Mus musculus: one gene and its partners. The protein of the gene in region 6 interacts with the protein of the main gene of each other region in a pairwise test. Links are inferred from orthologs where the notes say so. Each region holds a gene or a part of one and is shown on either strand. Other genes may lie near its edges.

What was found.
Region 1: the proteins of Agtrap (region 6) and Senp2 interact in binary tests that used the Homo sapiens proteins (3 or more experiments, as listed by UniProt). The two-hybrid records come from large-scale screens. The link is inferred for Mus musculus from reciprocal best matches to the Homo sapiens genes AGTRAP and SENP2.
Region 2: the proteins of Agtrap (region 6) and Ap3m1 interact in binary tests that used the Homo sapiens proteins (3 or more experiments, as listed by UniProt). The two-hybrid records come from large-scale screens. The link is inferred for Mus musculus from reciprocal best matches to the Homo sapiens genes AGTRAP and AP3M1.
Region 3: the proteins of Agtrap (region 6) and Mief1 interact in binary tests that used the Homo sapiens proteins (3 or more experiments, as listed by UniProt). The two-hybrid records come from large-scale screens. The link is inferred for Mus musculus from reciprocal best matches to the Homo sapiens genes AGTRAP and MIEF1.
Region 4: the proteins of Agtrap (region 6) and Acsf2 interact in binary tests that used the Homo sapiens proteins (3 or more experiments, as listed by UniProt). The two-hybrid records come from large-scale screens. The link is inferred for Mus musculus from reciprocal best matches to the Homo sapiens genes AGTRAP and ACSF2.
Region 5: the proteins of Agtrap (region 6) and Bpifa2 interact in binary tests that used the Homo sapiens proteins (3 or more experiments, as listed by UniProt). The two-hybrid records come from large-scale screens. The link is inferred for Mus musculus from reciprocal best matches to the Homo sapiens genes AGTRAP and BPIFA2.
Region 7: the proteins of Agtrap (region 6) and Hscb interact in binary tests that used the Homo sapiens proteins (3 or more experiments, as listed by UniProt). The two-hybrid records come from large-scale screens. The link is inferred for Mus musculus from reciprocal best matches to the Homo sapiens genes AGTRAP and HSCB.

Annotation. Positions count from the first base shown.
Region 1 is NC_000082.6:22,008,110-22,012,283, forward strand, and holds the start of Senp2 (sentrin-specific protease 2), read left to right. Parts: upstream 1-1,374; 5' UTR 1,375-1,532; coding exon 1,533-1,633; intron 1,634-1,655; exon of another isoform or gene 1,656-1,781; coding exon of another isoform or gene 1,782-1,855; intron 1,856-3,384; coding exon 3,385-3,443; exon of another isoform or gene 3,444-3,491; coding exon of another isoform or gene 3,492-3,510; intron 3,511-4,174. UniProt on the Homo sapiens protein: Protease that catalyzes two essential functions in the SUMO pathway.
Region 2 is NC_000080.6:21,035,443-21,038,942, reverse strand, and holds part of Ap3m1 (AP-3 complex subunit mu-1), read left to right. Parts: exon of another isoform or gene 1-16; intron 17-757; coding exon 758-965; intron 966-1,685; coding exon 1,686-1,830; intron 1,831-2,239; coding exon 2,240-2,340; 3' UTR 2,341-3,500. UniProt on the Homo sapiens protein: Part of the AP-3 complex, an adaptor-related complex which is not clathrin-associated. The complex is associated with the Golgi region as well as more peripheral structures.
Region 3 is NC_000081.6:80,232,760-80,236,879, forward strand, and holds the start of Mief1 (mitochondrial dynamics protein MID51), read left to right. Parts: upstream 1-1,320; 5' UTR 1,321-1,422; intron 1,423-1,674; exon of another isoform or gene 1,675-1,799; intron 1,800-1,922; exon of another isoform or gene 1,923-2,021; intron 2,022-3,045; 5' UTR 3,046-3,394; intron 3,395-4,120. UniProt on the Homo sapiens protein: Mitochondrial outer membrane protein which regulates mitochondrial fission/fusion dynamics.
Region 4 is NC_000077.6:94,598,987-94,603,101, reverse strand, and holds the start of Acsf2 (medium-chain acyl-CoA ligase ACSF2, mitochondrial precursor), read left to right. Parts: upstream 1-1,315; 5' UTR 1,316-1,331; coding exon 1,332-1,459; intron 1,460-4,115. UniProt on the Homo sapiens protein: Acyl-CoA synthases catalyze the initial reaction in fatty acid metabolism, by forming a thioester with CoA. Has some preference toward medium-chain substrates. Plays a role in adipocyte differentiation.
Region 5 is NC_000068.7:154,006,819-154,011,075, forward strand, and holds the start of Bpifa2 (BPI fold-containing family A member 2 precursor), read left to right. Parts: upstream 1-1,457; 5' UTR 1,458-1,493; intron 1,494-2,294; 5' UTR 2,295-2,302; coding exon 2,303-2,423; intron 2,424-2,948; coding exon 2,949-3,090; intron 3,091-3,650; coding exon 3,651-3,758; intron 3,759-4,257. UniProt on the Homo sapiens protein: Has strong antibacterial activity against P.aeruginosa.
Region 6 is NC_000070.6:148,085,265-148,089,485, reverse strand, and holds the start of Agtrap (type-1 angiotensin II receptor-associated protein), read left to right. Parts: upstream 1-1,421; 5' UTR 1,422-1,542; coding exon 1,543-1,569; intron 1,570-4,221. UniProt on the Homo sapiens protein: Appears to be a negative regulator of type-1 angiotensin II receptor-mediated signaling by regulating receptor internalization as well as mechanism of receptor desensitization such as phosphorylation.
Region 7 is NC_000071.6:110,833,278-110,836,777, reverse strand, and holds part of Hscb (iron-sulfur cluster co-chaperone protein HscB isoform 1 precursor), read left to right. Parts: intron 1-374; coding exon 375-471; intron 472-708; coding exon 709-798; coding exon of another isoform or gene 799-803; intron 804-1,978; coding exon 1,979-2,123; intron 2,124-3,500.

The DNA of each region.
Region 1 (4,174 bases), on a different chromosome or scaffold from region 6:
CCAGCAGTGACTGTTTTTGTTTTTGTTTTTTGGGTTTTTGTTTTTTGAGACAGGGTTTCTCTGTGTAGCCCTGACTGTCCTGGAACTCAGTCTGTAGACCAGGCTGGCCCTTGAACTCAGAAATCTGCCTGCCTCTGCCTCCCAAGTGCTGGGATTAAAGTCATGTGCCACCACCGCCCGGCTTTGAGACTGTTTTTAATACTTCAAGGGACTGCACTCCCAGACATTATGCTTAAGTCCATAGGAGATATTATTTAGACATTTATTTCTAATGGTTTTCCTTTAATCCCAGCACTCGGGAGGCAGAGGCAGGCAGATTTCTGAGTTCGAGGCCAGCCTGGTCTACAAAGTGAGTTCCAGGACAGTCAGGGCTATACAGAGAAACTCTGTCTCAAAAAACAACAACAACAACAACAACAAAACAACAAAAAGGAAGAAAGAAAGAAGAGAAGAGAAGAGAAGAGAAGAGAAGAGAAGAGAAGAGAAGAGAAGAAAAGAAAAGTGTATACATTCCCAGAGAGGATAATGAGAATTGATTGCTACCTGACAGCTGAGGGGAAGAGACAAGCTGATTAGAAAAGGCCACAGGAATCATTCAGTCCCTGTTTCTCGGAAGCTTTTCCTAAGAAGTCGTGTCCGTCTGCCCTACTCACTCCCCAGCATCTGGTTTAACTTTCTCTAGTTCCATTGCGCATTACAATCATTTATCACATAAGCAGGTGACCTTGTATTCTAATTTATAAGTATCTATGAAAATGTCTCTCCCAGTAAACTTGCACGTATGCGTGCGGAATGAGCCCTAATAGTTAGACTGGCTCAAATGCTAGTGGTTAGCTCCATTTTCTTAGGCACATGGTTTAATTGCTATATACCTTTGGTTTTTATGACATTCCTAAAATTCCCCACTGTGTCCGGTTGCTGTAAACATGACGGCAATCCGGGTAAAGTATTAGACCAATGTATATACAAAATAAAGCGCAAACCCTTACATACTCATTAACTAACCTGACCTATTTTCCACCCTGCGCATTCTTTTACAGAACCCTCCACTGTCGGGTTGCTTGGGTAGCTCTCCCGGCCCAGCATCGATACACGTGGTTTGGGTCTGTGGGCCTTGTCCCGAGATCGACTCCTGACTGGCTCTGCCAAAGAGAAAGCCCCGCCCTTCGGTCTGCCAGTCAGACCCGCGCAAGAGCCCGCTCTCCCCGTCCCGCTTCCTGTTGCTAGGCTTACAAGGAGCAGGCCCAGACTGCGCATGCTCAGACTCCGGAGGCCGCTTTCCCGTTGGGCGGAAGAAGGTGACGTCAACGGCTTCTAGAGAGTCCTCCCCTAGCCCGGGGAACGTTAAATCTGTGGGCCCTCTGATGGCGTCACAAGTCCGCGCCTGATCCTGGCTACGGCTGAAGCGGCGAAGGCGGCAGCGGCAGCGGCAGCGGCAGCGGCGACGGCGGCGGCGGCGGCGGCGGCGGCGGCGACAGCTCTGGGGTTCGCGTCTCGGGGTGTGTCGGCCGCCGCTGCTGCTCAGGCCTGGAATGTACAGATGGCTGGCTAAGGTTCTCGGCACCATTCTTCGCTTGTGTGAGCGGCCCGCGCCCGGGGCCCGCGCCCTACTCAAGAGGCGGCGCTCCAGCAGGTAAGGTGGCCGCGCGCCGGTCGGGTCCCCTCCCCCGCGCTGGCGTTGGGCGCCGCGGGCCTGTGGGAACCGGCGACTACGGGACCGCGGAGGCCTGGGGAGAGTCCGTCCCTCTAGCTGCGAGCGGAAGGGGAACGGGAGGCCGGCGATGTGCTGCTCGCCGGATACGGCTCCTGTCGCCCGGTGTCGTCGCGGGCGGACAGCGCAGGAGCGAGTCACTAGGTTAGGAGTTTGCCCGTAGTCGTTTGACTGCGAGTGCTGTTGTCTTCGCACCGAGGAACAGCAGTTGTCTTGTTCGACAGCAACTGTCGGGGTGTGTGTGTTGGGCTGCAGGGGAAGGGAATGGTCCTGTTCTTTAACATCCTTGTAAGAGGCAGAAAGTATTTACGTACCGCACTCTTGTAAGATTCGGTTAAAATTAGAAGGAAATGACAAATATTAGTACTTAGCATCTACTCCTTTATTTACTTTACAGTGTCTTCCCTTTTAAGGGTTTATCTAGAAAACAAAATATTCTACAACTTCTATACTCCCCCCTGTCTCCCACTCTTACATTCTCCCTCCCTTTCCTTCCTCTGCTATGTCTACTTCACTTATTATTATGATGATGGTGATTATTTTTGTTTCCAGGTCAAGAGAAGTGGACAAAAGATTGGATTAGGGGAAGTAGATCAAAATGATTCATAGATGACTCCAGGAATGTAGGTCATTGGTGAAACTGGTTGTTCGCTAAACTGTAGCATGTAGTCCCATGGCTTCTACAGTTCCATGGGGTTCAGATAAGAATCGGTTAAGATGTTATAAAGTTCTCAAACTGATGCTTATGTAAGAATAGTTTATTCTCCCCCAACTGGATCTGGTGCACAATGAAACTGCATATTTATCGAACAGGGACTGGTGATCGCCTCACATTTTCATTCATAGTCCCTCGGAGTCAGCAGTATGCCGACCCAAACCTGAGTGTGGATGTGTCCTGGCCAGCCTTGACTTCTAGCTGCTTTCTGTTCTTTACTACATTCGGGGGCTCGTGGGTTATTTTGTTTTGTTTTGTTCTTTTGTTTTTTGAGACAGGGTTTCTCTGTGCAGCCCTGGCTGTCCTGGAACTCACTCTGTAGACCAGGCTGGCCTCGAACTCAGAAATCGGCCTGCCTCTGCCTCCCGAGTGCTGGGATTAAAGGTGTGTGCCACCATGCCCGGCTCGGGGGCTGGTGTCTTAAAAGATACTTTTTTCTAGGAACTAGAGCTGTGCCTTAGGGGCGGTGTGCTTGTCTGTCGTGCCTGTCCTGTCTTCAATCCCCAGCCCAGGGTATAGGGGTCGGGAGACATTTAAGCAACACCATTGCCAACTCCCAACTACTACCTTATCTCTTAAGGCTGCTTATATTGTTGCTTGAAATTAAAAAAAAAAAAAAAGTCTGTCTTTAGGGCCAGTGTCCCAAAACCAAATGATGTGTTGGTTTAATTTGGCCAGATTATACATCATAATGTAGTAGGGAGTGTTGAGTCTTTCCTACGGTCTAGAAATAGGACTCTGCTTTGCACCTTGCATCTCATTTTACGACTACATGGGGCACAAGAGAAGGAAGGTTGTGTGGTACGGAGCTTTTGTTTTGGTGTTAGGTAAAGAGACCACGGTCTTTTATATGCTAAACACATGCCCTACAACTGAGTCACACCTCCAGAGCTGAGTAAGTTTATTTATAGAAATGCACGTATGGCCTATATACATCCATCTTCTCCTTTCTTTGCAGCACTCTGTTTTCTACTGCAGTGGACACTGATGAGATCCCAGCCAAAAGGCCAAGATTAGGTACTACATCTTTGAAAATTAATTTGTTTTAGTAGGAAAAATACATGCATGGAACAAAACTCAAAAGGTAAAAAGTCCAGACAATGAGAAGTTTCCTCTTTCCTGCCCTTTCTCTATGCCATTGTCTTTCCTAGAGGTGACTATTTTCAGATATGTGTGTTGAATGTGTGTTTATAGTTCTAAGGTCTTCTGTAGTAAAGGTAATTTTTTTTTTCCCCTGAGGAGGAAGCCAGTTCAAACTGATTGATCTGATTCATCTGGCTGAGTGAACCCATATGCTTTGTCATCACAAATCTACTTTCTTGTATGTGACTGGTAGACAAGAATAAAAGTAGATTAAAGAGCAAGGAATAGTAGAATACTATAGTATGTCCCTTATTTCAACAGCAGTCATGGATTTGGGTCTATACCAGATGTGATGGTTAACTATGGAAACTTGTTGATATTTCATTTAAATCCAATAAATACTTATTGACTATGTCTTGATTTTACACAATTACAGAAAATAAAAAATACTAGGCCTTTCTACAAGTATCTTTTAATTATCTAAGGAAAAAACAAGCTATTTTTAAAAAATAAATATGAATAAATAATGGTTTGTATGTGAATGTAGTAAGATACATAAAACGACATGACAAAACCAGCTGGTGATACCCAGGGCCTGGCTAACAGCCTGTGGCTTAACTACTGAGGATTTTGATGCAGGTGAGTTACAAGTTCAAAGCCTGTTT
Region 2 (3,500 bases), on a different chromosome or scaffold from region 6:
GAAGTAGTAAGAGAGAGTAAGTTAAAAATCTATGATTAAGACCAAGCCTTTGGACTGTGCGTGACCTGGGCAAACCATGAACTCAGTGCCTTAGTCTGCTATGTCTGTAAACAAACAAGACAGGATACCCTAAAACATCCCCTAAACTACCTGCTTCAAGTCACTGTTCTCTACATTGAGTTTGGGAGGTTGAAGTGGTTCTTGTTTTTAAAACAGTGTCTTATTTGTTACCTCAAACTGTGGATCCTCCTGCCTCAGCTTTCTGGGTGCTAGGATCATTGATATGTGCCACCATATTCATCTTGCATTGAGCTTTAAACAGTTTACTGTTGTCAGCTGGGGCTGACGTGTCCCTTAAAATTCCAGAAAGCATTTGGGTGATTAGACAAAACTGAAACATTTTTCTGAGAAAATATTTCTTAGTGCTTTAAATTCTTTTAATGGGCTCTTCTCTTTCTTTCTTTCTTTCTTCCTTTTTTTTTTTTTTTTTTTTTTTAGCTGTATCCCTTTATCCGAGTTGTTTATGTGATATTTGGAGGAGATTTCTGTTTGGGCTTATGTATTTGTTACTAACCCATACATTTCTAGCACATTGGTACCAGAACATTGCTGTCCTCAACCCTAGTGCATAGGCCTAATCTGCTAGGGCATATGGTCCTGTGGCACAGTTACAGACCTCGTAGGACATACACTACATCTGGAGTTGTCCCATACCTTTCATAATGTACTTTTGTACCTTTTTGTGTCTTTTTTTTAGTCTAGTGGCAATACCAGTGTATGTGAAACACAGTATCAGCTTTAAGGAAAACAGCTCTTGTGGCCGGTTTGATATAACAATTGGACCGAAACAGAATATGGGAAAAACAATTGAAGGAATCACAGTGACTGTTCACATGCCCAAAGTTGTGCTGAATATGAACCTGACACCAACGCAAGGCAGCTATACATTTGATCCCGTGACCAAGGTACAGGCACTTCGAAACAAGAATGAGCAAGTGTTCTGCAATCTATTTTGTGGTTGTGGGTGGAGGTCACAGTACTTAGGAAGCAGGGTCCTTGCCTTGCTTAAACAAGACTCTAGCCAAGGGTTTTCAGAGTCCTAGAAAAGATGATTTTCTCTTCGCTCCCTTGCTTCCTTATGTAGGAAATGTAAGTTTTCAGCAGAATAGAGTACTTGATAAATGAGAAGGTGTTTTGGTTTGGTTTGGATTGTGTTTGAAATGGAGGAGCCGGGCGTGGTGGCGCACGCCTTTAATCCCAGCACTTGGGAGGCAGAGGCAGGTGGATTTCTGAGTTCGAGGCCACCCTGGTCTACAGAGTGAGTTCCAGGACAGCCAGGGCTACACAGAGAAACCCTGTCTTAAACGAAAAAACAAAAACAAAAAAACAAACAAAAAAAAAGCCTTTCTGGGACCCTTTAAGTGTGAGGTGTGAGCAGGCGAGTCCACATCCTCACCTTCCAGCTGAGCTGGAGTCATCCTTCTGTCTGTCTGTTACTCAGCCCCACACACATGATTCTGCTGTGGATTCTGTAACTGAACATTTAGTGATTAGAACATAAGCCAGTTGTGTAGTCCTGGCTTCTGTTTTCTAAGACACTGCTTCATTTTGTGTAGTGTATAGCATCTGTTGACCTCTGAGCATGTCTTTAACACAGCTCAGGTATTTTCTCTTGTGTTTTTAAGGTACTAGCATGGGATGTGGGCAAAATTACTCCACAAAAGCTCCCAAGTCTTAAAGGACTAGTAAATTTACAGTCAGGAGCACCCAAGCCAGAAGAGAACCCAAACCTCAACATACAGTTCAAGATCCAGCAGCTTGCTATTTCAGGTAACACGTGTTTGCTGGGCATTGAGGGGAGATTGGGGCTAGGAGTCTGGAAGAGTACTAACAGCTCTACCCTAGAAGGAACAGCAGCTCCAGACAGCAGCCATTTGAGAACACAACTTAACCTCATGCTCTTCTGTCACACATACCTCACCTCACCTTCATTTAAGAGCCAGAGAAGCCCTCATTTGTGTTCAAAGAAAGTGGAACTAGCTAGTTTTGTGAGCAGAGGCATCTTAACCAAGGCCATGCTCCTTAGAGTACAGCATGTGGGGGATAGAAAAGGGATGTTGTTTCCACATGATGAATGGAGCACTGTGCAGTGTCACATCTAAGGCACAGTGTTCATTGTTACACAAGTACTGCATTATTACTCTGGTAGTAATGATTCGTTTCATTCTTTTTGACACAGGCTTAAAAGTGAACCGCTTGGACATGTATGGTGAGAAGTATAAGCCATTTAAAGGAGTCAAATATGTCACAAAGGCTGGGAAGTTCCAAGTGAGGACATGAGAAGAGGCCAAACTTGCTCAAGATCAGTTTGTTTTTTCAAGTGTCATTGCAATTTATTACTATTAGGTACCAAGTGGGTGGGAATAATATACAGCATTTGTGTCAAGCTACCCTGCTAACAAAGTTGCTTAGTAATTGATGTAGGGTTCTTACGGAGCTTTAAGCTAAGGAAAGTTTTCTAAAGACTTAGCTTATTTTGTATCTTTTCACTTAGGAAAAGGTTTAGATGATTTCTTCCATGGGGGCTACCAGCTGAATGCTGCACATTCTAACAGTCAAAGCAGAAGGCTACAGTGATATCCTCTCTCCTAAAGCAAGCCAACTGGTCTCATCTACCAGCAGGAACTGTCTCAGTCTGTGATGTGTCAGGTGCAGCCAAGTGTCACACCTTCTGATCTTAGCCATCTCAGTGTCTGTCCCAAGAGAGGAGATTGCCCCACCCCAAGAAGTTTACAGAAAACTGCCTCTTCAAGTGTTTGCCTTACTCAGCTTTTCACTTGTGCCATTAAGCAAGCACTGTAGCAAAAGCCACTTCCACATGGCCCTGGCAGGGAGCACTACAGCTCCGTGCTCCATTCTCACTGTACTTGGTATTATATTTTTTATAAATAAGATTTTTATGTAAAGCTCAGATTTTGATTTACAAGGACCTTGCTGCAGTAAATATTCCATCAATCTTGTGCCACTAGTTCAGCTGTTAAGATAGCACAGTCAAATCATTTGCATCAAAAGGGCAAATACTTTATTAAGACAACGAAAGGGAACACTACTTCTGTTGTTAGCGAGTTACTGCAGGCACAGCTGTTTGTGCTTTTAAACAAATTAAAGTAGTAAAAGAGAAAATCAAGCAAAACCTTTGCCATTCTCATGTTTTATTAAAGCTTTATTTAATGCCACTAACCTAATTAGCTTGAAACCCTAGTTTAGCTAAAGAAGGAAATCATGAGTTTCACTATGTTGCTCTTTTCAATCTTTGTGTGTTTAAATAGTTGAATTTGCTTGTGTGCCCTTCATTTGGGGGAGCGCCTTTCCATACTACATATATCTCCAGGCCATTGTGATGACACCTTCTCCAAACTCCTATCAAATTCGAGTGAAGCACTTAAGTGTCTTTGCCGTACTGCGTACGTGGAAGAACCATTCACGGAAGGACAGAGTCC
Region 3 (4,120 bases), on a different chromosome or scaffold from region 6:
ATCTCAGGGCTGGTAGTCTTGGTTCTATAAGAAAGCGGGCTGAGCAAGCCAGGGGAGGCAAGCTAGTACAGAACATCCCTCCATGGCCTCTGCATCAGCTCCTGCTCCCTGACCTGCTTGAGTTCCAGTCCTGACTTCCTTGGTGATGAACAGCAGTATGGAAGTGTAAGCCAAATAAACCCTTTCCTCCCCAACTTGCTTCTTGGTCATGATGTTTGTGCAGGAATAGAAACCCTGACTAAGACACAGTCCATCCATTCACCAGTGAAATGCCTACTGTACCTGAACCTGTGCCCTGGGTAAATGAATGTTCCCCTTGAGCTGCAATTCCTATAAGGTCCTGTTTCCTTATGATGTGAGTTGATAGTTATGTCCAGTCCTGTACCCAGTCCAGAGGATCCCAGATTGCCCATGCTCTGTGAAACCTGGCTGAACCCTGAGGTTTGCATCAGTGTCTCGGCTGGCTGGTCTCTGGTCTCCAAAACACCACAGATATGTGGGGGCTGGAAGACACTTTAATGTTTAGCCCCCATTATACTGGGAGCATGGGGCAGGAGTGGGGTGAGTGTGGGAAGGTTAGTGAATCTGGAAAAGGTAATCCTGACATCCGAGACTCTGTGTGTGAGTGGGTAATCCTAAGGTCTCCCCCAGAGGGTCTCCTTGTCCTTTACGAGTGGAAAACTCGTCTACTTAGGAGACTGTCCCGAGGGATAGGTTACCCGGTCTTCTAGCTGGAAATTTCACAAACTAGATTTATTTGGGTCACAAACTTCTTTCTTTAAAAAGCAAAGTAGGGCGGCCTAAAAGAATGGAAAGCCACACACTTTGGAGGAATACTGAGCTTGGACCCACTGTGAGCCTCTGCAGGGCTCAGCTTTCAGTGCAAATGACCCTGCCTCCCTCGGCCTCGATTTTCCCAAGTGTAACACTGGAATGCTGAAGTCTACCAAACAGAGAGGTTGGGTTGGACAAAATGCAGTGTGTCAAGTAATCAATTCAGTGTGGTCAGAGCCTCTCGCAGGCCAGACGTAGGCAGCAGGTGGAGGGCGACGACTTGCGGCTCCTCCCTTAAGCCACACCCAGCCAGCACTGAGTTTACACAGAGACTGCACAGTAACGCTTTCGGAGGAGGGGCCGTGGAGCTAGGTAACGTCACCTAGGAGGCGGGGCTGCGTCTGTGGGCGGGGCCCCACGACGGGCAGCGCTGGACTAAGTTCCGGGCTCCGCCTCCGGAGGGAGGCTACGGAGGGGCCGACCGGAAGTGCTTCCGCCTCCGCCCGCCTCCGCGCTCCCTGTCGCGTCTCCGTCGGCCCCGCGAGCGAGGTCGTGCCCCGGAAGTAGAGGGGCCATGTTGATGGGTGACCCGGAGAGAGGTACTGGGCGAGTGGCGAGTCCTGAGGAAAGGTAGCGCGTGGTCCGCGGGTGAGTGAGGGAGCGAATGAGGGCGGCCGGGGATCGCCCGTTTGAGCTCGGGCCAGTTTGGGGGCTACCGGCTCCCACCGGGGCCTCCAAGCTTCGCCCCGCCCCGCCTCAAGACCCGGTTGCCTCAAGCCACAGAGCCAGCCTGGCCCCGGGGTCTGCGTTCCCGTCCTCTGGGCGTTGTACCCCGATCGGAGCCCGTAGTCAGTCACTCAGCGACCTCGTTCCAGCCCCTGCGTGACGTTCTCCTTCCAGCCCTCCGTTGTTTTTCTGCATCTTTTGCATCCCGGAAGACCCTCAGGGCCAAAGGGGAGCTGTTCTGCAGTTGAGGAAAAAGGGACAGCGGTGGCTTGCCCCGGTTCGCGCTGGAAGTTAGCAAGGTCAGAGGCTACTGCTTCTGTCTTGGAGCCCAAAGTTCAGATCATTTTTTGTTTTTCATCCAGGAACTCCCTTCACCCCTGAAACACATACAGGCTCATACAACAACTGTTTCTTCCTCATAGGGTTATGGGGAGGATTCCTCCTTCCAGCCTAGTTTTGAGGTTGGTGAGCCCTGGGCCCTGTGCTGGCAAAGTTTGCTGAACGCCCTGAAGTGCACACATGTAAGACACCCCCCCCCCCCGCCCCCACCTCATTCCAGCGAGTTAGGGTCTGGATTGTTTTGGTGAGTGGGCAAATCACTTCCTTTTGGGAATGATGTCACATACTTGGCACACATCTTTCATCTCAGCTCTCAGGAGGCAGAGACAGGAGGATTTCAGAGTTTGAGGGCAGCCTGCTTTACAGAGTGAGTTCTAGGACAGCCAGAGCTCCGTAGAGAGGCCCTGCATCAGGAAACCAAATTAAACAAAAGCAAAAGAAAGCAAAAACAGAAAGAATAAAAAGAAAGAAAGAAAGAAAGAAAGAAGAGATAGAGTGATGTCTCTGTGGTTAAGAGCACTGGCTGCTTTTCAGAGGACCCAGGCTCAATTTCCAGCACTTCTGTGGTGGCTCACAACTGTATATATTATAACTCCAGTCTAAGGATATGACAGTGTTACACTCTCAAGGCAAACTGGCATGTAGACAAACATGCAGGCAAATACCCATACAGAAAAAAGTAAAAAAGTAATTAAAACAATAAGGCCAATCAGCGTGATGCTGCTTATATGGTGGTACCAGGATCCAGATATAAATCCTGGTCTTTAACTACTCTAGGCCACACTGTCTGGTAGAGTCCCATTACAGGGGCTTTTTAGGAGCAGTTCTCAAAATAACCTTGTGTAGTAAGTACTCTCATGATGTCTTTGTTATCTCTGTTTTACAATGAGGAAGCTGATGCCCACTGTACTTTATGCTAAGTGCCCGGGCAGTGGGATGGCACAGCCAGGACTCAAACTCTACTTCTTGAACCCTGGTGAGCCTTAAACTGAACTTCTCCAGGAGGGGCTGTTTACAGGGAGGAAGCTGATCCCAGCTTTGCCATGAGTCCTTGGAAGTCTCTGAGTCTGGCATTAAGAACCCCTGCCATCCCTCCCTCCCCCCAACTCAGACACACACACACACACACACACACACACACACACAGTGTCTAGCAGGCCCTGCTGTCATCAGTTCTGACTCTAGCCTTCTGTGTCTTCTCTGTAGAGTGTGACGATTAGTACACGTCGGTCCCCCATGGCCCCTTGGAGCCGAGAGGCAGTGCTGTGTCTGTACCGGGCTCTGCTGCGCCAAGGCCGAGAGCTTCGCTACACTGATCGAGACTTCTACTTTGCTTCCATCCGCCGAGAATTCAGGAAAAATCAGAAGCTTGAGAATCTGGAGGCTCGAGAGAAGCAGCTGGAGAAGGGCCTGGTCTTCCTCCATAGCAAACTAGGAGGCCTTATCTAGGATCCTCTTTTCCCCTCCTACCCCAGTCCCAAGACGAAGACAAAGGTGCCTTCAGAGACACTCCCGGCTCCCCACCCCACCTCACAGATGCATTAGGAAGCCTCAGGTAGGTAGCTCAATCCTTGGTCTTAGAGGTTTCTTCTTTCTGGGCAAGAAGCTAGGAAAAGGAAGACCTTTGCCATCAGAGTATGTTCTTTACTCCCTAAAACTCACTAGATAAAGTATAGGCTGCACAGAGAAACCCTGTCTCAAAAAACCAACACACACACACACACACACACACACACACCAATAGATGTGGGTCCTTAACTGGATTACAAACCCCACCAGAAAAGAGTGGGCATCGTTTTATGTCATAGAGTACTATATATATGCGAATATTAGAAACGAGTGGCTAAAGTCATCAGAGTTCAGTTCCAAGTCAGCTTGTCTGCTCAGTTAGACTGCATCACACACACCGTGTTTGCTGAAACACAAGCTTATCATTATTGCATAGTTGGTATAACAATCATATTTAGTGCCTGCCTTCAAATCCTGCACTGTTAACTAGTAGCTGTGGGATACGGGCGACTCTCTAAACCTTGATTACCTGTGAAGTAGAAGTAGTAGTCCTTAACCTGGGTTCGGTGAGACCATTACAGATAGCACTGAAAGTGGCATGCTGCAGATGGGTCGTTTGCGAGCCCCACCAGAACAGAACTGGTATTTTATTTCACAGACTCTCATATATTTGAGAATATTAAATATGAGTGGTTGTGTTCTTGTGCCCTTTCGTAAAGTTGCATTTGTTTATTGGGGTGTGGGTGTATATGCCTTAGCATGCATGGGGAGG
Region 4 (4,115 bases), on a different chromosome or scaffold from region 6:
GCACCCTTCACTCCCTGGGCCTGGCTGTCTGAAACCACTGTATACATTTGATTTGGAGGGCATCATGCCGTTTCAAGCCCAGCTTTTCAAAGTCTCTCCTCTTGACTTGTTCTCCAACGGAACACAGATTCTTTCCAAAAAGCTGTCAGAGGGAGAGGGAGAGGGAGAGAAAGAGAGAGATATCTGGTCACTCTGGAGATCAGAGAAGGAGTAGCTGTATTAGTCATGACCCCAGCTGAACCAGATCAAGGCAAAGGTTCACCAGGCTAACCTCCACCCTCCGCCAACTGTTCCTCTGCCTGGCTTTCTTCATTCCAAGTCAGGAGAAGGGAAGCCACCCGGCCGGGGGCCTTTCTTCTCTTCTTTCCCAGATCGTTCAGGACAACGAGGAGCTAGAAAGTGGAGGACTAGTGTACTCATCTTTGGACACCCAGCGCACAGCCTGAGCACTCACCTCTTGTAGATCTTGTCACCCATCCTCCTTGGATGACGTTAGAATACATTCCTAAGGGCACAGCTAGAGGGTTGAGTCACAAAGTCAGGGTCCTTTGGAGCCTAGGGGAGCAGCTGAGGAAATTGTGTTTAAGGCTTCAGGCTAGAGCAGAAAGAGGGAAGGTAGGATACAACAGACGCGTCCCTGATGCCACCTAATCTTGTCTACCTGGTACTCTTCTCAGAGTCGTGGGGAGGATGCAAGGTCGAAGTAAAGCTGACTCTTAGCCTCTGGCCAGACTAGCACCTTGGTCCCCGGAGGTCTCCGAATACAGAGGGGTTTACCCATCAGAGCGGTAGGTCCCAACTACCTTTCCTCTCCCCAGAGGCCCTCTGCTCCAGTTGGCAGGCCTCAGGGGCACTCGGGGCAGATTCCTTTGGCCTGTAGCTCAGCACCCAGGAAGTCCCCACGTGACCCAAGCCCTACTGGGCACGTGGGACCAACCAGTCCAGGCATTGTCATCTGGCTCTATATAGACTGTTGATTGTTTTCCCGTTTATGAAACTCTTAGGCCCTCCAAAGTTAGAGTGATGATTGCAGGAAGGCCCTGTATTGTGCTGCAGAGCCGGTCTTGGGAGCCCCGGGAGGGGGAGGGGGGACAAGGGCGGGACTTCGAGGGCGGGCTTGAAGGGCTGCAGTTCCCACGCAAAGGTGGCCAGGACCGAGTCGCCACTTCCCGGCCTCTCCTCGCCCCGCCCCGCCCCGCCCCGCGGGGACCCAGTCCTCCTCACCCCATAGGCAGAGCGACCCTCCCGCCTCCCCGTCCGCTTCTTAATTACCCTCGCCTCGTTCACTTTCAAAGTTTACTCCCGGCCCGGACCCGCGGCGGAAGCGAGCCATGGCTGTCTATCACGGGATGCTGCGCTTCGGGAGGCTGTGTATCGCGAGCCTGGGGGCGCGGGGCCCCCGGACGCTGCTCTCTCGCCCTCGGCCGAACTCGAAGTTGCAGAGTGTCCGCGCTCTCAGGTACCCCGAGCAGCATTCCGAAAAGAGAGGGGGCTGGGCAGTCCCGAGAAGGGAACTTGGGAGTTCTGCAGTGCTTGGCAGGGGCTGACCCCACTCTGGGTAGCCCTCACACACACTACCCTACCACCTAGGCAAAGGGAAAAGCCAGGCCTGCCCGGGATCTGGGGCTGCTGCTCATAGCCACAGGAGTCCCAGGCTGAGTTCAAATTCTAGTTCAGAATTCTGTATGCGTCCCATGTGGTACACAGAGCCAGGAGTGGAGGCTTTTTAACAGTACACCCGAGGAATAGAGCTGAATACTGCTAGGGCATTCTCTCAGCTGTATTAACTCCCGTGAAAAATGTGGGGACCGTTTGGGGGTCCACAGGGCACTGAGTATAACAGATCTTTCCTTCCTTTGTTTTCTTTTCCTTCCTTCTTTTCCTCCACCACCTCCTCTACTTTTTGGAGCAGGGTTCTCTCTGTAGCTGTGGTTGTCCTGAAACTCGCTCTGTACACCAGGCTAGCCTTGAAATCACAGAGATCTGCCTGACTCTGCCTTCTGAGTGCAGAGACTAAAGACCTGTACCACCACTGCCCGGCTTCCTTCCTCCTTTCAGTCATTACCACTTCTGGGCCCATTTTTTCATCTGTCTTCAGTGCAAGATCTGGGAAAGGGGTTGGCAGGAGAGAGTTGGCTGAATAAATCTAATATGACCAGACACGGAGGGGACTGCAGGAGCTTGCTGGGGAAAGGCCAAGCTGGGAGAGTTGGCTGTGCAACAAGGTGAATGGTGGTATCCTCTGCGTCCAGTAGGTATGCACATCGCCTATCCTGCTCTACCGCACGGAAGGGCAAACTACTAAGCCTGTTGTCCGTATTATTGTGCAGGCTGTGGTCTTGGAAAGGAATAGTGGAGGCACGGCAGAAAGAGGAATATGTCTCAGAAAACACTACTAAGTTTAAAAGACACTACTAAGGCCGATGAGAGTAGTGGTGTGTACCTTTAAGGCAGAGCCAGGGTTTCTGAGTTCAAGGCCAGCTTGGCCTATGAAGTAAATTCCAGGACAGTTGGGGCTAAACAGATAAACCCTGTGCACCCAATCAAAAGACAGCCCCCCTGAGAAGAAGTTGGACGGACAAGTTGGAAGATGTCTTTTTGGCTGGAACTCTCAGGTTCTGAGAGCTAAGTGCCTTCTGAGAATTAAGAAACAAACTGGTGTGTGTGTGTGTGTGTGTGTGTGTGTGTGTGTGTGTGTGTGTGTATGTATGTATGTATGTGAATTAGCACTCTAACACTGATGTTAGTACATGTTCAGCTCCTGTGAAGTGCTTTAACATCCCTCTGCCTTCTTTCCTGAGGAGACCTAGGGGCTCATGGCTCCATGCACATGTGATTTTTGTTTTTGTTTTTCCTTCCTTCCTTCCTTCCTTCCTTCCTTCCTTCCTTCCTTTCTTTCTTTCTTTCCTTCTTTCTTTCTTTTCTTTCTTTCTTTTGGGGGAGGTTTTTTCGAGACAGAGTTTCTCTGTGTAGCCCTGGCTGTCCTGGAACTCACTCTGTAGACCAGGCTGGCCTTGAACTCAGAAATCCACCTTCCTCTGCCTCCCAAGTGCTGGGATTAAAGGCGTGCGCCACCACGCCCGGCTGTTTGTTTTTTAATATGAGTACACTGCAGCTGTCTTCAGACACACACCAAAAGAGTGCATCGGATCCCATTATAGGTGGTTGTGAGCCACCATATGGTTGCTGGGATTTGAACTCAGGACCTCTGGCAGAGCTGTCGGTGCTCTTAACCGCTGAGCCATCTCTCCAGCCCTCACTTGTGTTTTAAGTGCAGGTGAAGGCAACTGATAAATGTGTTTTCCTTTATCTCTCTCTACCTTACCATTTTGAGGTAGGGTACTGAGCCTGGGACCCATTGATTCTGCTAGGATGGCTAGCCAGTGAGTTCTAGGGATTTTTTCTTCTCTGTCCCCCAGCCCCTAGCACTGAGAAGTTACAGGTGGCTGAGCCATGGTGCCAAGCTTTTGTGTGAAAGTTGGGGATCCAGCTGGGTGTGGTGGCGCATGCCTTTAATCCCAGCACTCGGGAGGCAGAGGCAGGCAGATTTCTGAGTTCGAGGCCAGCCTGGTCTACAAAGTGAGTTCCAGGACAGCCAGGACTACACAGAGAAATCCTGTCTCGAAAAAAAAAAAAAAAAAAAAAAAAGAAAAGAAAAGAAAGAAAGAAAGAAAAGAAAAAGAAAAGAAAGTTGGGGATCCGAACTCAGTTCCTTCTGACTGTACCGCAGTCGCTTTACTGATTGAGCCACTACCCTAACCCCAACATTTGTGATCTTTGGCATTTTTCTGTGTAAACAAAGCAGGTCACTTACTGCCCTCAGGCCTGTGATCTCTGAGGGCTTCAGTGTCAGGCCTCAGAGAAACTATGTCCAGAAGAGACCTATTTATCAAGAGAGAGAGAGAGAAGGAGAGAAATATTTTCTGAGTATCTGGCCCAACTTCTTTCCATTCCTCTCATATTTGCATCCTTCCTGGCTGGCTTTCATCCTTCCAAACGAAGTATCCGGTTTGTCCCCTACTCTCCCCTGCAGAAGCCTCCATCTTAGGTTTCTCAAATATTCAGCACAGGTCTCTGAGGGCATTGACCTAGCCCTCAGAGGTCAAGCACCTAGG
Region 5 (4,257 bases), on a different chromosome or scaffold from region 6:
TGTGAGCTGGAGGTCACTCGTGAGACACACAGTCCTGCTGCTTCTGTTCCCAATATCCTGAGGAGACGACACATCTACTTTGTTCAGAGGCCACAGTCTAGTTGACCTGAGAGTTACCAGTTTCTTATTTGTGTGTGTGTGTGTGTGTGTGTGTGTGTGTGTGTGTGTTGTTCGTGTGTGAGTGCAGGTGCACATATGATAGCGTACACGTTGAGGTCAGAGGATAACTATCAGGCGTTGTCCCCTCCTACTTTTCCTCGGACTCTGGAGAACAAACATGGGTCCTTATTCCAGGGGAGCAAGTGCCTGTTGGCTGACACATCTTGCTCACATACATTTTACCTAGACAATGGAGCCTCCATCAGAGTATTACTTTAGCTCCTCACCGATGGCAATGCACCACCTCTCTACCCACATAGGAGTTGGGTCTCCACACACCCCCACACCCCCTTCACCAAAACGTTTTCAGTTACTTTATCTGGTAAAGTTCATCAGAGAATGAAGCCAGTATTAAGAACATGGAATCATTTGGGAACCTGGATCTAGCAATACCCCACCCTAGATGGAGTTGCTGAGTTTTCACCTCAGATTATAATTCCCCCCTAGCTTCTATGGTTTATTCTGAAACCAGGGGAACTCGATTCCTCCCTTTGGACCACAGACATCCTGGCTTGTGAATTCACATGTCATCTACTGCTAATCCATTGGTAGTATGTGGCTCACAGAGACACACTACAGTCATGGCCAATGTCAAGGTAGGACAGATGTGAATCATTCCCCCAGTCCTGCTGTTTTCATGACTAACCCTCCTCAGCACAGTGACCATGAACCTACTTTTCCCCTCCTTTTATTTTTAGAATTGCTGGAATTTTCTATTTTGAGAAATAATAGCCTTGGGGCAGCATTAAACAAAATCATCTAGAAAGCTGGTTTAAAATACAGATGGTTGAGTCAGTGAAAGAGTGAGGAATGTCATTATTGGCCCCTCACAGAGGCTGGCTCACTCCAGCAGAGGTGGTTGAAGCTCTTGGACACGGGTCAGGTGCATAGGAAGGGTGGTCTGGGACACCTGAGAACCACAATTGAACAAACAGAAGCTGCTGGCTTTTTTTTTTTTAAATGAGTTCTCAAAAAATGACTGGGCTAGCTTAGGCAAATACTTCGAGCCAACCCAACAGAACATTCTTCCATTGATTCATTCTGGATCTTCTTTCTAGACAATACTGAACTGACCCCTTGTTGGCAGTCTCAAGTTTGACAACATAGGGCTTTGAACTTGGCACAAGGTCCATCACTGTCACCCAAGCATCCTGGGTGACCTTTGGGTTGGAATATCTTGGCTAACCTTAGATATTTTCTTTGGAGTATCTTTAGAACATCCAGGAAATAGGGCTTGATTCTCATCCTGGGACCACAATATAAGTCACCCTAGAATCCCAGGAGATCGTGCAGAGAAACAAGGATCTCTCTCGTGTGCATCCTTCTTCAAAGCAGTGAGTAGTGACTCCACTAAACTGAGTTCCCATCTGAGAGTCCACAGGAGGCTTTGGGGCAAGAAGCAGAGGGAAGGCACTGTTTGTGTTGGTAAAGTTTTGACTCTAACAAATTTGAAGACATAGATGACATTGTGTCAGACTAACAACAACCTAGACTCATGTGGGTTCTGTTTAGGGATCAGATTTTATTCATCAATGACTTGTCTTAGTGTATAGAGAAAGGCTTCCTACTGGAGTGTAGGCTCAATAATGACAGAAGAGATAGCTATTTCCCCTAGGGACTGTGCTGCTCCAAGTTTGGTGGAGAAAGGCAGTGGGGAACCTAGATGTGCTCTCTGGGGAGGGGGTCTGAAGCTGGCTTCATAGAAGGTGTGAAGTTTTGCTGAAACATCTAAACAGAATTATAGCTTAGGAAAGTGAGCAGGCAAGGCAGGGAATGTGTTGCATATGTATATGTACATGAATATATTATGTTATAGATACACACACATTTGAACCTCATTTGCAGATGACAGAAAATAGGTTATTTTGCCTCTCTTAACTGCTAAGCACAATGACTTCCAGTTCCATCCATTTCCTGAAATGCCACAATTTCATTTTTCATTGTGGCTGAATAAAATTCCATTGCAGACTGGGCCCTACTTCATCCACTCCTGAGGGCAGGCATATCCCCTGGCTCCATTTCTTACCTATTGTGAAGAGAAGTGCAACTGTCTTGTTGAAAGGCAAGCGTGAGAGAGGCAGGCACTAATTGTGGGTTTTTGTTTCTTCTTCCTGCTATGACTCTCCATTTGTCAGAACCAAAGATGTTCCAACTTGGGAGCCTTGTTGTCTTGTGTGGCCTGCTCATTGGGAACTCAGAGTCACTTCTTGGTGAACTTGGCAGCGCTGTGAATAATTTGAAAATTCTGAATCCTCCCTCTGAAGGTGAGTTAATATAGGTTCCTTCAGCTATCTGGTCCCAGGAGAAACTCTAATAAGTATCATGCCTGCAATTGCAGAGGCTGCTGGGAGAGGGTGGTGTTGTCTTTTGTGGGTGGTACACTGAGAAATGTGCTGCTATTCAACTCCTGCGTTGCCCCTATCTGTTTAGAAAAAAAAAAAAAAACAGTGCTGGGATGTTACCCTAAGAGACTTGCCAATATATATTGGCACAGGATAAATTCTTAAAAGTGAGATTCCAAAAATTTAAAAGGTTTGCATTTTAAATTATAGTAGCTGTTGACAAGAAGTCCCCTATCCCAGTGCATGGATCCAGCTGTGTAGACACTTTTCCTAACCTTAGGAGGCTCAGGTTCCTCATCTATACAAAGGAGACTGGCAATCCTGTCCTGACTGGGTTGTTGCAGGGACTGATGACACAGCACAGGGAAACTGACTTCTCTGAAACCAGGAGGATGGAAGCCCACTCCCTAGTGGTACAGGACACTGACTGATGACTGTTTTTGACAGCTGTCCCTCAGAACCTGAATCTGGATGTGGAGTTGCTTCAGCAAGCCACAAGTTGGCCATTAGCCAAGAACAGCATTCTAGAAACGTTGAACACAGCGGACCTTGGCAATTTAAAAAGCTTTACATCTTTGAATGGTTTATTGTGAGTTGATGTTCTTTGCTTCTGGGGAAGGGACTATCTGACTACTCAATATCAACAATAGATGGATAAGCCTCTTATTCCCCCACAGAGCTGAGGAGTTCTGAGGCAAGGTTCATTAGAAGTCGAGTATGTCTGAGGCAGGGCTACAGGGCCAGTGTAGACAGTTCATACCTCCGGGTTTCCACAGTCAGTGACTTAAGGCTCAAGTTGAACATTCCATTGATCTCATCTCCACATGAATCTTGGTACCTAAAGGCATTCTCATGAAAACACATTTCTTTTTCAAATATAGTAAAAATCTAAGTTTCTTCAAGGGACAGCTAGCTAGAATTCATAGCCTCCAGTCCCAAGCACTGGCTTTACGGAGGTCTGAGTCACATAGTCCTGGATTCAGGTTCTGTCTCTGCTGCCTATAGTTTCCCTCGCTGAGTGCACTGTGCCTGAGAGTGTGGAGTCTCACGCTTCTGCACAGGATGTAGGAGGGACAGGAGGGTGATGACAAGAGGTGCAAATGCTGCAAAGACGCAGGACAAGAAGGCATGTGTGTGTGTTTTGGGCAGGTTGAAAATCAATAATCTCAAAGTCCTGGATTTTCAAGCTAAGCTGTCTTCCAACGGCAATGGCATTGATCTGACGGTGCCCTTGGCTGGGGAAGCCTCCTTGGTTCTGTGAGTATATGTCACTTGGATTTTGAGGGTACAGTGCAATATGGCCAATTTGAGTAGGCATTTAATTTCCAGCTACGATGTGACTTCTGGCTCTAGTTTCCTAATCTATAAAAGAGGAGACCCTCTGAGGCCTAAAATTCCAACCTTTAATGAAGATTGACATGTTAATCTCTAAGAATTTATATTTTTCTAGATCTCTCATTTAGAGATATCTAGAGATGTGGGGGGATCCTTCAGAGAGAACACTTGCCTAGTATATGTGTGACCCTGGCCTCAAATAGTCACCACTGGGGGCTCAGGAATGTTTATATTTCATGCATTTATAAAGGCATGAGCTGTAAGATCCTGGGGGGGTACATACACTTAACCTCTGTATGCCCAGGATCTTTCACTTAAAAAAAAGGAGTATGATTCTTTTCTAGTACTGTTTATAAGTGTACAATGTTTATAAGTGAATGTCCACAGGTAGTTTATGTTATGTTACAATTATGTTACAAAA
Region 6 (4,221 bases):
ACTTCTCTCATCTTCCCAGAAGAAAAGTCCTATCTGGGGATCTGTGACCTAGATGTCATCTTGTGTCCACTCAGGGGGTCTCATGGGTTCCCATATGGCTTCTATTCTTCTGGAGTCACACCCACCAGCCCAGGCTGGGCAGCTCCCGCCTCCTGAGAGCTCTCAGCATGTCTGAAGGCTCAGCAGGGGAGACTTCCTGTTAATTGTCCTGACTGAATGTCTTCCAACTTTTGCTATGTTGGGCAAGTGGACTCCAAGTGGCTGGCTCCTCATATATTGGTGGTACTAGAGCTTGTGTGCATCAGCCACTGACACCCGGCACAGCTCTGATCATTTGGAACTTTACCTAGGCTATGCTGGTACTGTAAACAGATGCTGGTAAACAGATGCTATAACACTGAGCCCTGACCCCCTCATTTTTGGACAAAGTCTCACTGTTGCCCAGGTTGGCTTTAAACTGCTGGGCTCTAGAGTCCTCCAGCCTCTCCTTCCCTTGTGGTGGGGGCTATTCAGCCATCAGCTGGAAAGCCCCTTTCTTGACTTCAGGTCCTGTCTCCCTTTCCTTACCCTGGCTTCAGAACCCAGGATGGAAGGAGAACCATCCACACTCTCGCCTCCCCACTCATGTTGTGGCATGCATCCACCCACCCCACTAAGTAGATCAATAAGACATAAACACGGTCTTACTTTATAAGCCAGGCAGGCTTTGATATCATTATATCTTTGCCTCGACTTCCCCTTCCTTCCTTTCTTTTTAATGTATTCTATGAAATTCTCTTGAAATCCAATAAGCTTGGAAGGAAAATTTAATACAGTAAGAACAGAGCTTCGATTTTTTTTTCAGATTTATTTATTTTTGTCTTGTGTATACGAATGTCTCACCTGCCTGTGTGTGTATATGCACTTGTGTCTGGAGCCTGCGGAGGACAAAAGAGGGTGGTTGTATCACAAGTACATGATTGTGAGCCGGCATGTGGGTTCTGGGAACCCAAGCCTAGAAAAAGTAGTAACATGTGCTCTTAATCACGGAATCCTCTCCAACCCTCACTTTTTATCTTTATGGACATGAATTCATTCACTGATCCTCACAAAGATGATGAGGTAGGCACTGTTCTAATTCTTGTGCAAGGGAAGTAAGAGAGGAGAGAGGATGTTCTGGGCAGACACCAACTGTTACCACACCCGCAGTTTCTGCCCGCTTGCCCCAGGCTCCTCTGGCTGTAGGTCGTCCCACCACCTCACCTCGATCCCACTTAGGCAGCCCGTTGAGCCCCTAGGCTGCAGAAATCCCGACCTCCTGGCTTGAAGCACAGGAGCTGGTAGAGGCCTAGGCAGTAGTAGTAGCAGGAGCCTGAGCCTAGCAGCAAGAGCAGCTGCCTGACGCCGTCTCCTAGCAACCGGCTGCAGTCACGTGGCCGCGCGAGTTGGCCTCCCGCCGTTGGAACTGGCGCAACGCGACGGGCGGGGCCAGGAAGTTTGTTCCCGAGTTCGGAGCCCAGGAGTCCCCGCGGCCGTCGCTCAGGTGCCCTCCGCCGGGTCGGGATGGAGCTGCCTGCCGTGAACTTGAAGGTGGCCGCGCGGCCGGGGCGGGCGGGGGTCCAGGAACCTGGGGAACGGAGTCGGAGCAGAAGGGAAGGTCCAGAGCCCCGGGGAGGAGGCGGCGGACACGGAGAGGGACACCTGGGGACAGAGACGGACAGGGCCGCCCCTCCCGGACAGACCCAGGCTGGCACGGGCACCGGACCGCCCGGGCCTGCGCTCCTGGTGTCCCCCACAGCAGGACAGGGACATCTATCCTTCTGAGAGGTCAGTGCAGTTCGGGGGGGGGGGTCTGTCTGAGTGCTGGCTCAAGTTAGGAGAAATCCGCTGTCCCCAAACAATTGCTTCTCCCTAATTTCCACATGCAGCGTCCTTATTTCATAATTAAGAAGCAGGAACTTAAGAGGTTTCCTAAAATCAAAAACCCCAGAGGCTACTTTGAGCTCCGGGCAGCGGGGCTGCGTAGGATGTCTTCATTTCCTAAGTTCTTTTTCTCTCTCAGCCCTCCTCATTTGCAACAGAGGTGCTGGCCACTTAGCTTCGGCCAGAACCGTGTGGACCTGGAAGTAAACCGGCCATCTTGGGCCTTTGGTGCCAGCTCCGTGAAACCCTAAGACTCCCAGGTGTTAAGCCATTTAGCACCCTTTGGTGTCTGAGAGGAAAGGGCCGGAAGATAGAGGTGCTTTGGAGCAGTTGTGTGATTTCATATGGGCTGGGCTGTGACTTGCTCTGGCCGGTTTCCCATTCCTAAACTGCTGGCTAGCAGCAGGAGGGAGATTGGAGCAAAGGAATGGGCTTGAGCGATCCATTATCTAGGGACAGAATTACAGGCAGGACTTGGAGGCAGTCTGGAGGTCAGGCTCTGCCTTATTCTGCTGGAATAATTACGAGGACAGCACAAGTCTCAATGGTAGAACATTTGAGTAGCCCACCCCAGGCCTGGGGTTCCATCCCAGGACCACACACTAACAAATAATAATAAAACGCAGGAACAGGTGAGAAAAATGTGATGTTTATGGGCTGATATGTTTTATTCATTTGAGTCAGGGTCTCGTGTACTAACTTACTGTGTAGCCTTGAACTTACTGTGTACCTGAGGATTGCCACAAACTTCTGATCCTCCTGCCTCCACCTCTCCAGTGCCAGGATTACACAGTAGTGGCGATGAAACCCAGGGCTTCCTGCAGGATAAGGAAACACTCCACCAACCGAGCCGTATCCCCAACCTGTGTTGCTTGTTTTTCTTAGTCTCCGTCCTCCGCTGAAAAAGCTGAAGCTGTACTCTGTCGTTTTTGTTTAGAGTTGGGGGACTTGCTATCTAGCTCTGGCTGGCCTGGAACTCACTATAGAAATCAGGCTGTCTTTGAATTGACAAGAGATCTGCTTGCTTTTGCCTCCTGAGTGCTAGGATTAAAGGTGTGCACCACCATACCTGACCTAGAGAAGCCGTGTTCTTTTATCGGGGTGCAAACTTCAGCTTAGATCATACGAGGAAATTGTCCGAGTCTCCCAAGAAATAAGTGGTACAGTCAGGATTCGAACCCCCAAAGACTCAGCTCCAGTGGTTTGCATTTCCTGGTATTGTTGCTTTGGGCTAACTTTGGTTTTGATGGCCTACATCGTCTTTTAGAACCTGATAGGTACAGTGTATCCATCACAAATGTAAGATAGCAGGCTTTCCAGCCCAGCATACAAACACTAGGCCCTCCACTGAGATCATGTGTGCTTTGCAGGCTTTGAAGGGCAGTGCCCAGGCTAGGGGTTGTGAAGTAACACCCAGTCACTTTTGGGCTTCGCATCAAGGACAAAGTCGTACCATGTGTCTCAGGATTGGGGACACACTGAATCATTCACAATCTGAAATTCAGAATGAGGCTGGGTGTTGTGTTATTTTGTCTGCAAGATCTGGTGTCCCTATGGGAGGCAGCTGGGACACCATTGGCTGCCCCTTTCAGTCCACCCTCTCTGTCTTTTAAAAAGACACCAGCTCTTCTCAGCACTTGGCCCAGGCTCTGTGAAAGAAGTCGGGTCCCTAACTGGGCTTCTTGCTTGTCTTAAGCAGGAGCTAAACTGAAGCAGCTCAGGTTGGACTAGACTTGTGAAGCCCTGGGAGGAGCAGTGGGGGGGGGGGGGCAGCGATGCGGCCTGCTGTGTTTGAGTGTTTGACACACTTCTACCACAGAGTCCCTGCTGCGCTGAAGAGCAGGTGGCCGTTGTATGTATGGAGACTTGCCCAAGTTTATGTGTTAAGATCTGTTCCATGGTCTGACTCCAAAGTCTGCCAGAGGACCTGCCTCTCCTCCTGGGTAGCCCTTGAATTTAGCTGTCCTGGGGGCATCCTACTGCCTTGTCTAATAGGCCGCCAAATGTTTGCACAGGACACACGGGGATGTTTTAAGTTGAGGTCTGGGACATCCCCAGCCCCTCCTCCTTTGGGAGTGGTAAACAAAGGCTTGTTTTGTTTTCCTGTGGTAGGGTACCACAGGCCAGGCAAGTTTTCTACCACGGAACCACAGTCCATAGCCCCAAACAAAGGTTAATTAATCCTCTTGGCCCCTAGACTTCTGCTGACCCACCCTTTTCTAAGTTAAACTTCCCTTCCCTCTGCCCTGCCTTTGACCTTGGAGATCCTGACAGTGGAGAGAATGCTGGCTTCGGGGCGAGGTTTTAAGGCCAGGCTCT
Region 7 (3,500 bases), on a different chromosome or scaffold from region 6:
TATAAAAAATAAAAAGAGGCCTGGCAGTAGGGAGTGGCTTGACACTAAAGTTCTTGCCCAACCTATAGAGACCCTCAGTCACCAAGAGTTTACCATGCATTACACTAACCTCCCTTAATGCGTCAAGCTATCGACCTTCCAGCCAGGTCAGTGTCGTCTCTCCGCTCATGTCCCTTTCTGATCTTCGCTCCTTTGGGTCTCCTCTCTGATGTCATACCTATACCACCTCTTCCGAACCTGTTCTGTTTCCCTTCATTGCAGCTACCAGGTCTTAAAAATAACCTTTGTTTACGCGTTTATTGCATCCTCCCCGAGAGCAGAACCAGACTGTAGTAAATGGCTGGAACTATGAATGATATCTGGTTTTCTTCCAGCAACCGCTCCTTCAGGGTGGACGTTACGAAACTTCAGCACAGGTACCAGCAACTGCAGCGGCTTGTCCACCCAGATTTCTTCAGCCAAAAGTCTCAGGTATTTACTGACCCTCCCCCCAATAGTCCCCATGTATGGGCACAACTGGGTGGGTAGCTCTGTTGCTCTGGGAAAGAGTTGGGCTGCTAGCTCCACCCTGTGGCAGCCTGCCCCTAGACAGCCAGGCCCCAGAGCTGTCATTTCCTCCCAGCTTTTATCTGGCTTCCCAGATAACGGAACACACGCCAGCTTGACCAGCTCTTGTAATGATAAAACTGTTTTTACTTCTGTGAACAGACTGAAAAACACTTCTCTGACAAGCACTCCACCCTGGTGAATGATGCCTATAAGACTCTTCAGGCTCCCCTGACCAGAGGACTATATCTTGTAAGGTGATTTCCCAACCCATCTGTCTGGGACTCCTCTGTATGAGACCTAGCCTGGTCCAGGAAGCAAATGATGGGAAAAGGAAAGGAAAGAAAGAAAAAAAATTTTAAATTTTTATGCAAGAATAATCAGTGTTCTTTGTAAATCCATCTTGTTTGTTTGTATTTTCCTTTGAAAGAAAACATCACTGGTTGTAGCCCAGGCTGGCTCCAGGTTATTAATTCTCTTGCTTCACCACACCCACATCCAGCTCGTTCCTAATTTTTCTTTTCCTTCAGTACTGGGTATTGAACCTAGTGCCTTGTGCTAAGGAAGCACTCTGAACTGAGCTATGGCCCCTGCTTGATGATTACTGGATTTTCTTTCATTTGCTTGCTTCCATTTGTTTGCTTGTTCGCTTTGATGGTACTAGGTTTTGAATCCACTCAACTATATCCCCAGCTGCCTTGTTACTTTTTGAACCAGTCTCACTCAGCTGCCCAGGCTGGAATTGACATGTGATCTTCCTGCCTCAGCCTCCTGAGTAACTTGGGATGCAGCCCCACACCAAGCCAGACCTGGATCCTTTTGCATATCCTAATGTCACCCCTGATTGTAGTGCTTTAACTATTGCTTTAACTATTTTCAATGAATTTGATAAGAGTACTTGGGCTGGGCATAGTGGCGCCTGCCTTTAATCCCAGCACTTGGGAGGCAGAGGCAGGCAGATTTCTGAGTTCGAGGCCAGCCACGGCTATACAGAGAAACCCTGTCTCGGAAAAAAAAAAAAAAAAAAAAAAAAAAAAAAGGAAAGAAAAGAAAAAGAAAAACTAAAAAAAAGGAAAAAAGAAAAAAAGAGTACTTGGGAGTCTTTTTGTAAGGACATCTAGGCGATTTTAGAACTGGAGGGAAAGTTTATAAAGACTCACTTAACATCTGAGATGTGTGAGGTACCAACCATCGCTTTGATGGTACATTCAGCAGAGTGAGGTCCTATACCAGCACTCACTGTTACTAGGACAGCTCAAGTTTCTGAAGGGACACAGTGCTTATTTAGCATGTACTAGGCTCTGGGCTCCATTTCACCTGACACTCAAGGCTTCCCCCAGGAGTGCCGTGTACTCTGAAGGAGTGAGCAGTATTTACTTAACACTGAATGTTTCCTAACCAAACTCCTTTTCTTTGTGCTCCTCCCCAATAGCTAAAGCTCCAGGGAATAGAAATTCCTGAAGGGACAGATTACAAAGCAGACAGTCAGTTCCTTGTGGAAATCATGGAAATCAATGAAAGACTCGCAGACGCCCAAAGTGAGGCCGCCATGGAAGAGATAGAAGCCACTGTCAGAGGTAAAGGGAAAAATGATAATAAATATGCTTAATTTCCCCAAGGAGGACACGGCCACATTAGAGGGGAAATGAGAAGGAAAACACTTGCTGGGGGGGTAAAGAGATGGCTCAGCGGTTAAGAACTCTTCCAGAGGTCCTGAGTTCAATTCCCAGCAACTACAGGGTAACTCAGAACCATCTGTAATGGGATCCGATGCTCTCTTCTGGTGTGTCTGAACAGAGTAACAGTGTACTCATAAACATAAAATAAATAAGTCTTTAAAAAAAAAAAAGGAAGGAAGGAAGAAAATCACTTCTTGGCCTTAATTGTCATGCAAGAACTGACTTTGGAAGATAGCTTTAAGCAAGAGTGTAATCAACCAGGACAGCCAAGGCTATACAGAGAAACCCTGTCTCGGAAAAAACAAAATAAAAAAAAATAATGTAATCATACTCCAAGTATTGCAACAGTTGCTTCTATCTAGCATGCTATTTACATGCTGTCGTTATTTCTGGGGATGAAAATGACCCCGCTAGTTGGTAGAAGTTAGTAAAAATGCCCCAGGATCACACAGATCTGCAGCAGAGCAATCGCCTAAACCCTGACCTTCTGACCCAGCCTGTTCAGTTTCCATTTCATTCCATGGTGTATCAGTCAAGGGTCACTAGAAAGCCTGCAGGGGATATAGGTCTAGTTAGTTATTTCACAGAACTGGCCCAAAGGTGGAGACTGACACACAGAGCTGCTACAGGGCAAGGCCTGGGGTCATAAGGTGTTTGTGTACATGTGTGCGTGGTGCACAACCAGGAGAACTTGAGTTCAATCCCCACAATTCCACATGCTGTCTCTGACTTCCACACAGCTGCTGGGGCACACACAACACACAAACACCCACACACACCCAACCAAGTACTCTCTCACTCTAAGTAATTAATGTCATTTTAAAAATAAAATAAAAGTTGGGTGTTGCCTGAGGAGTAACACACAAATGACTTCTGACCTACACAATACTTGCATACACACACACACACACACACACACACACACACACACACACACACACATTGTAGAACAGAACAGTGGGCCAAAAGCTTAGGTTGGATTGGTTTGTTTGTTTTTTTGGGGTTTTTTGGGTTTTTTTGGTTTTTTTGACAGGGTTTCTCTGTGTAGCCCTGGCTGTCCTGGAACTTGCTCTGTAGACCAGGCTAGCTTGAAACTCAGGCATCCACCCGTCTCTGTCTCCTGGTTGTTGAAATTAAAGGTATGTACCATCTCCACCCACTTAGGTTGGATTTTTATATCACAGTCTTAAATATTTTTCTTCTGTTAGGAATCTAAATCTAGCCGGGTGTGGTGGTGCACACCTTTAATACCAACACTTGGGAGGCAGAGGCAGG